Oryzias latipes: one gene and its partner. The protein of the gene in region 1 purifies or fractionates together with the protein of each later gene. This does not show direct contact. Links are inferred from orthologs where the notes say so. Each region holds a gene or a part of one and is shown on either strand. Other genes may lie near its edges.

The links. The genes of interacting proteins can lie anywhere in the genome.
Region 2: the proteins of larp1 (region 1) and pabpc4 purify together in Homo sapiens (affinity purification with mass spectrometry; 3 studies listed by BioGRID and IntAct, with this or other methods). This does not show direct contact. The link is inferred for Oryzias latipes from reciprocal best matches to the Homo sapiens genes LARP1 and PABPC4.

The regions. Positions count from the first base shown.
Region 1 is NC_019872.2:3,462,404-3,465,917, reverse strand, and holds part of larp1 (la-related protein 1), read right to left. Parts: intron 2,491-3,514; coding exon 2,343-2,490; intron 1-2,342. UniProt on the Homo sapiens protein: RNA-binding protein that regulates the translation of specific target mRNA species downstream of the mTORC1 complex, in function of growth signals and nutrient availability.
Region 2 is NC_019880.2:16,809,056-16,813,115, forward strand, and holds the start of pabpc4 (polyadenylate-binding protein 4), read right to left. Parts: upstream 2,803-4,060; 5' UTR 2,450-2,802; coding exon 2,257-2,449; intron 1-2,256.

The DNA of each region.
Region 1 (3,514 bases):
GACATGGCTGATTGGATGATGATACCAGTATCAGTTAATGCCATTTAACTTTCAATTTAAATGATGGACAAACGTCACCATCCAATCAGTGATGTCCCATCGTCTCTACCCTCTCCAGTTTCTTATGCTGTTTCATTTTTAACATTTCATTTGGATTTCTGGAAATTACTTTTGCTTTTTTTTTTCACGTTTTGGTGTCTGGAACTTAGCTTTGTCTTTTTAAATGTATTGTTGTTTTTTAAAAATTTGTTTTGCCGTTCTGATCTTTGAAATGTTTTTCGCACTTCTGGGCCACCATAGTATTCTGTTGGAGATGAAAAGCCAGTCTGCTCATTCAGATCCGCAATCAGGGATCAATCACCACCTTCTACCAGCTCATCTGTTTGAGGAAGAGGAGCGTGAACCTGAGTTCACGCTCCTCTTATGGAGTTCATGTAAATATTTCGAGCAATAATGACATTGAACTTCCAAGGACGCAAAGTCCATGTTTTTTCTCTAATAACACGAACACCAAATATGTCAAAACTTTCAGAACGTTTGTCTCCAACTGAGGAAAAGTCTGAGCCGCTGCGCCGTCTTCCTCAGAAACGGGTCTGAGCGCCGACAACAGAATGGAGAACCGATTCCCTCTGCTGAATCCATGAATCCTTCACAGTTCATTTTTCCAACCATTAAAGCTTTTAGTGTCTCAGTTGAGCTGGAGCTTCTCTCAGACTGTCCCATCAGGACAATCCCTGCCATTTCATACAGCAAGCACCACAACACTCACATGAAGTCCCATCTACTCCAAACTGTAGTGTGGGACCATCTAGTGCCCTGGATTTTAACCAGCCATTTTGACACCTTCTTCACTTCTTTTTTTTTTTTTTTTTTTTAAAGCAAACTTTGACGTCACCGATTTCCTGAAGCAAAAACCTAAAAAATGTGAACACTTTACTAAAACTATCATGTTCTGATGATGAAAACTAAATGATACTTTTTTTTTCTTCACAAAAATTGTTCAAACGCAATGCATTGTGGTCTATATTCACCAATTTGGTGAGTATTGATGATCAATGGCTTTTTGCAGAGACTTCTGGGAAATTTCTAGGGTATTGTTTATTGGAATTGTAAGTTTGAACAAAATGGTGAACGCACTATAAAGTAGTGAAGGAATCAAGACACAACCAGCAAGAGTCTATGAACTTTACATTTTGAATGTTTCGAATTAAACTTTTCTGCGTAGGTTCAGCATCAAGAGATGAGACTCATGAGGAGGAACCGAAGTGTTTGCATTTCTGACTGTTTTGTGTGTTTACCATTAGCAATTGGTTTTTACTAGGGGTGTAGGAAAAATCGATTTGGCGATATATCGCGATATTTCATTTGGCGATACTTATATCGGATTTAAAATGGTGTTAAGAAACTGTTTATTTTAATTTATGAGGCTTCCTTCAGTGTCTGACTTGTCACCCGACACCGAGTCTCTCTGAGCAGCTCTACGCCGCACCACAGCAACTAGATCTCAACCAGAACCAGCTTGTGTTAAACATTCAGTCAGCCTTTGTTGTCATGAGACATGTACTACCTACAGAACCGTATCGGTTAAGGCACTTTTTCTTACACTGAAAAATATTTTGTCGTGTCAATCGGACAGTGTTGAATGTTGCCTTTAAGGAGAAATATATCTTCTTAATTTACCAAAATAAAAGCACTGTGAATTGGCTTTGGTAAAAGAAACTCGTAAAGGAGAAACAGTTGCAGTGCTTAATGTTTTGATCATTACATAAAATGAATTTGACCACGTTATGACAATGACAGGCCTGTTAATATTCAGGTAGTCATACTTTTTTTTAAAAAAATATTTAGAAACTGTTCCGGTACAGTCTATGGATGTATCGCGATACACATCACATCCCTAGACTCTTACCAAAAAAACAGGACAAGCTTAGATTCAGGTCAAGATTAAATGAAACTTGCTGATTAATCATTCAAATTTTAGTTTTTGTTAATAAACTGGTTACAAAACCGTATTGTTATACAGCTAGTGACTTCAACTGAAGGTGGAACACTGACTAATAAAATGATAAATTCTTACATTAAAACTTAAAGATAAATAGTTGTATCTGAAAACATAAACAATAAAAGAAAAACTTTGAAAGAAAGAAATAGATTTAATGAAGTGATCTAGCACTTTCCAATTGGATAAATCAGTTATTTAACTGAACCCTAAACACCTAAGGTGTTTCCACCCCTAGAGACCTTCTCCACTCAAACACACAGCTGTAGGTGAAGCTACAAATGTAGCCTGGAAGGTGAACAGAAAGTTTCCCATGACGGTTAAGATCGATTGAAAGCCGAACCTTTCTTCTTTGGGCCGTTTTTCTGAGACGCGTCTGCGTTCTTCTCCTCTCCCGAATCGTCCGACTTGGCCTTCAGGTTCTCCTTGCTCTCCTCGTTGCTCTCCCTCTTCTCCTTGGAGTCCTTCTTGGCGTTGGTCTTTTTAGGACCCTACAGAGGAAAGGCGTCTATTAGCGACCATGTCAGACCAGAAAACACCTGAAGTTTGTCATTACAGCTTTGGTGAGTTTCTGTAAACAAAGCAGATGCTCTGACGTTAGTTCAGCAGAAGAAGGATTCCACAAAAACGCTTCAACTCAGGACATGCAGCATTCCTTTCTCCCAAACTGAGCTGTCGTCCAATCAGAAACTTCAACGAGCTGGACTCTGACAGGAACCAGGCTCAGATATTCAAGTTACACATTATTAAACTGATGTTATTAAAAAATGTACTTTAATAATCTCTATAAGGAGTAGCATGGATCGTTTTACTGAAATGTTCGCTAACAATACACGTCTCTTTTGGGACTAATAAAGTTTACTGAACTGAATGTTACTATTGGCTCAAATTCCATCAAAGGCTGTAAAAACATACATTTTCAGCAGTTTCAGCACCAAACCTAAACGTATTTCCACACGTCCTCTTCTAATTTGTATTCTATTTTGAATTCGGTAAATGAAAAACTGTTTTAAATTTCATTTCAGCATTTTCAGGATATTAAAAATTTCATCCTTCTGTTTAATCCTAGCGTGTGAACTACTGTTTTATCATTTTCCCAGCTTTATGAATATTTATTTGAACTTGCTGGAGACGGGCGTCGCTGCAGCGGTGAACGGCTGACTGAGAGACCTGAAGGGCAGGAGGGAGGCCGCCACGTCTCATCTGAGTGACACAGAAGGCCGACCTGCCTGAAAACAGCCATTAGAGCCGGCCTGAGGTGAGGAGGTGTGCTGGTTGGGCCATGGACACGGTCAGCTGGAAGGTCCAGCCAGACTGACAAGGCTGAGTGAAGGACAAAACCAAAATATGACCAAAACACCAGTTTGGAAGAAGAAACCAGAAACTCTCAGACTAAAGAAGTCCAGAGTAGACTTGACTGAACAAATAAAAGCGCAGATAATAACCCAGCATTAAATATCTTAAAATACCGGTTATATCTACTGCATCACCGAGTTAAAGGTTAGTTTTAGTTGG
Region 2 (4,060 bases), on another chromosome or scaffold:
TCTGACAAACCCCATGCTGCTGTGCCCCCTTAACTACCAATGCCACAGGCAAACATCCATTTCAACAGGTTTTAAAGAGTTTTTATTTATTTATTTTAGATTTGATGATCATTTTACAGTCTCTGCGTTTTTCTGCACTGTTAAGACACAAAATTATGAAATCTATACCTTTGTTTTACTATTGGTTAAACAGCCATGTCATTTTGGGTCCACGTGCCAAACATCCTTTTGTTCAGTCCCTCCACAGCGAGCCACACACACACACACACACTCACAGGCTAGGCTTTCCAGCTAAAAGTGTCTGGTAAACAAAACGGAGCTCCCTTGCGTCTGCTGGCATCAGCAGTTTGGCTTGCAGTTGTACTTCACCACCCGTGTGCTCAGAAAATTTGTGTAATTGTTGTTCAACACATGAACCTCTGAAAGGTTCAAAATGAAAATCTTGCTGTTTAAAAAAAAAAAAACACATTCAGAAATATCCAAGGGTGAAAATGTTAATGGTGTTGAATAACTAGTTATTGTTGCCATTTGTGTTTGTAGTATCACAGAGCAGGCATATTTTGGCCTGCTCAGAGTGAGGTTCTATATTTAGAAAAGGGTCCTGAGAGGTATGTGCTGGAGTATGGGTACACCATTCTTTGCTATTGATGGGGAAGACTTCCAACATGAGGATAAAACATAATATTTCAACAAAACAATGAAAAAGCTCAAAATATTCCTTCTCTACACTTTGAACTTTGCCCCACATTTACACCCTTCTACCGTGTCCACATCAACAGCAAAACAGTGGGGCATTTCACACCTGTCAGTTATGGTGTTGTAATCCATTACTTGGTATTTGGTCAACCGCCTTCATCAGAGACAGCTGCTCTCACAGGTGTTTTTGTTGATAAAACAGGAGAAACATTCACAGTGTGTAGACAGTATAACTAGGACCTTAGAAAGACCAATGCAACACACGCTACCGCTGCTAAGAGCGCCCCTATTTATTCCAAAGGCAACAAAGCAACAAAAACAAAAGCAATTTGCTTTGCACCAACTGTTGCATATGTTAAAGCTGTTTAGGTAACAATAGATACAAATAAGTTGTCTGTCCACCCACAAGGTCACTGTATAGTTATGTTGTCCACCTTTTGACATACCCCTTTCACCGAGTCGCACAGGTGGTTTGGCGGAGAATTTTATGCCGAATGCCCTTTTTCACACAACCGTGTATTATATCCAGGCTGAAGACTGGCACAGGGGGAACCAAACTTGGACCCTGTTGTGGCTACATGGTAGTGCGAAAGGTCTTTCCCAAGAACCCACAGTGGATGAAGCACGTGAGAAACAAACCCTAACCTCCCATGCGCTGGTCCTATACACAACCAACTGAGCTATCCAGCCATTTAGTTAAAACAGCAAAAAAAATAGGAGTACAAATCAACTCAGATCAATGTAAATAGGAATTCTTGATGGTTTTAGCATTCCTAGCAATGGATGACATCTAACTAGATAAAAAAGGAAAGTCAAAATATTTACTACTGAAAAATGTTTAAAAAAATAAATGTGTGAACTAGTTAAACAAGTTTTGGACAAGTCATCTAGTAGTAGACAAAAAAGCCAAACTATTTACCAAAAAGAGAAGAAAAAACTGTGGTGTTACGCATTAAGTAATAATACAACTTTGATTACATACTAGTTATTGGGTAAGACATATCAGTCAACCGCTAGTTTATTGGTACTACAGAACTAGTAGTCATTTTTTCTTGTACTAGTTGACTACTGTGGCCTAGTAGTAACCTTTGTGTGTCCCTAGTTGACTATGAATGCCCAAACTGATGCAATTAGCTTGAAGGTGTTCATTTTTAACATAATTATATCACTTGTTATTTTGACTCATGGGATCAGCAGCAGAGATTTTAAAAACAGCGTGTTCTCAACAATGATTTACTGCAGTAATGGCTTTCCATATAATTGATCAATAATTACAAACACAGACTTTAAAGCACATAATGGTTTCAAATGCATGAATTCCTTTAAAATACCAATAAAATGTAGTGAACTGAACTGCAGAGACTTTGCATCGCCATAGCATAGGTGGTGTGTGAAGAACTGGGAAGTGGATATAATAGGTATAATGAATGACTGTCTCAAATAAAGAAGACAGAATTCAATGGAAGCGCAAAGCTTTATAAAATTCATTTTCATTAGTCATGATGATCCCCACGTGGGTGAGCTCATCCCCCCCCCCCCCACCCCCCAGGGGTTCCTTACCGTCAGCGGGCTGGGAGAAGTTGACATAGGCGTATCCGAGGGACCGCCGGGTGATCATGTCTCTGCATACCCGAATGGAGAGCACCGGTCCGGCGGGGCTGAATTTCTCATACAGCATAGCCTCCGTGATGTCAGGGTGCAGGTCACCAACGTAGAGAGAAGCCATCGGATAACTCCCGGTCGCTGTGTTCATTTCCCAAACTTCCAAAAAGAAAAGAAAATCTGCCAAAGCCGAAAAAAACTGCAATCCGGTTTGAATGCGGGTCAAGACGCGCTCGGTGCGGACAGATCTCTGAGTGAGAAACCCAAAAAATGTACCAAAAAAAATCCTCCTTCGGTTAAACCCCGAGGCCTCTTGTTTATATTTTTAATTAATATTTTGCTATTTTTTTAAAAGTTTAAATTTCAATATTATTGTACTCGTTTTTATAATGTTTTATAGCTTTTATTGTTTTTATATTGTTTTTATTTTAAGTTTTTTTTTTCCCGATAACAGTGAGTTAAACACTCACGGTTGATTTGTGGCCGGGGAAAGAGAGTGTGTCGGGGAAGCGTGGGCACTTTATAGAGGGTAGCGGCGTGGACGAAACAGTGACCAGGGTCAAATTTAGGAGAGGGGGCGGAGGGGGGCGGGGGGCGAGCACGCGGCGTGTAAAAGAGAGAGCGCACTGTCCTGCCCCAACCACAGAGCTGCCCTCCCCACAGCGACACCTGCATGATAACTGAGGGGCAGGACACAGCTCCAAAGGAGAAAAAGCACTGGAAAAACTCAACAAAAAAGGGAAATAAGGTCTGTTTTTGGAATGTCAATCCTTTTGGGAAAAAATCTGGGAAAAGGGAATAAAAGCTCTTAAAGTATGGGTCCACATTCCACACATATGGTACATATATTTGAAAAATTAACCCTGTAGTAATCCTGTAATGTATTTAATGATGTCATGCAATTTGTTATTTTGTGCAATTAATTAACCCGCTATTAACTAATTAATCTATTTTTAATCACAATTATTCGTATCCTTTTAATTGCTGTGAAAAGCCTCATTATTGAGTATTTTCATTTAAATTTCTGAGATTGTATCGCATTAATAGATCAAAATACAACAAAAAAAGTGACTTTATAAAGTTTTGAAGCAGATTTCCAACCTTTACTTTTACACAAAGGGAATTTTCTTCTTGAAAAATAAAGAAAACAAAAACAAATGATTATGTCCAGAAGACTCTATTTAACACATCAAAAACAAGAACACTTTTCTGAGCAATCCAGAAAATATTGAACACAAACTTTTCATTGATACCATATTTGACGTACATTATTCCACAGTTTATACACTAGTAAGATGGTAAAAAAGACACAAGTGATTATATATTCTGTTTGGTGAATTGGATCATTTTGAAGACTGGAATCCAGTAGAAGAGAAATAGAGAACAGAACACTAGGAGGAAATGAAACACTGAGGTAACACCGGACGAACTGAACTATTTTGATTTTGGACTTTGTTTCTTTGAAACAAACTTTTGCTTTATCATCTGGTTAAAAACAAGCGCCAAGTGGTGAACTTTCCCTCCAAAATTATGCTTTGTTTAACTTCTCACAATGATCACTTTCCTCAGAGAGGAAAAAATATAACGGGACAAGTTCTACAAAAATTTTTTTTTCATAAATGACCTTGGTATAGGATAATGCTCTTTGAGTTGTGCATGTCATACATGAACAAACTTCACGGAAGCACTGACGCGAAAATGAGATTAAAAAATGTGCTCAAATGTTTCATTAAATGAACACAACTAACATGATAATTTACCT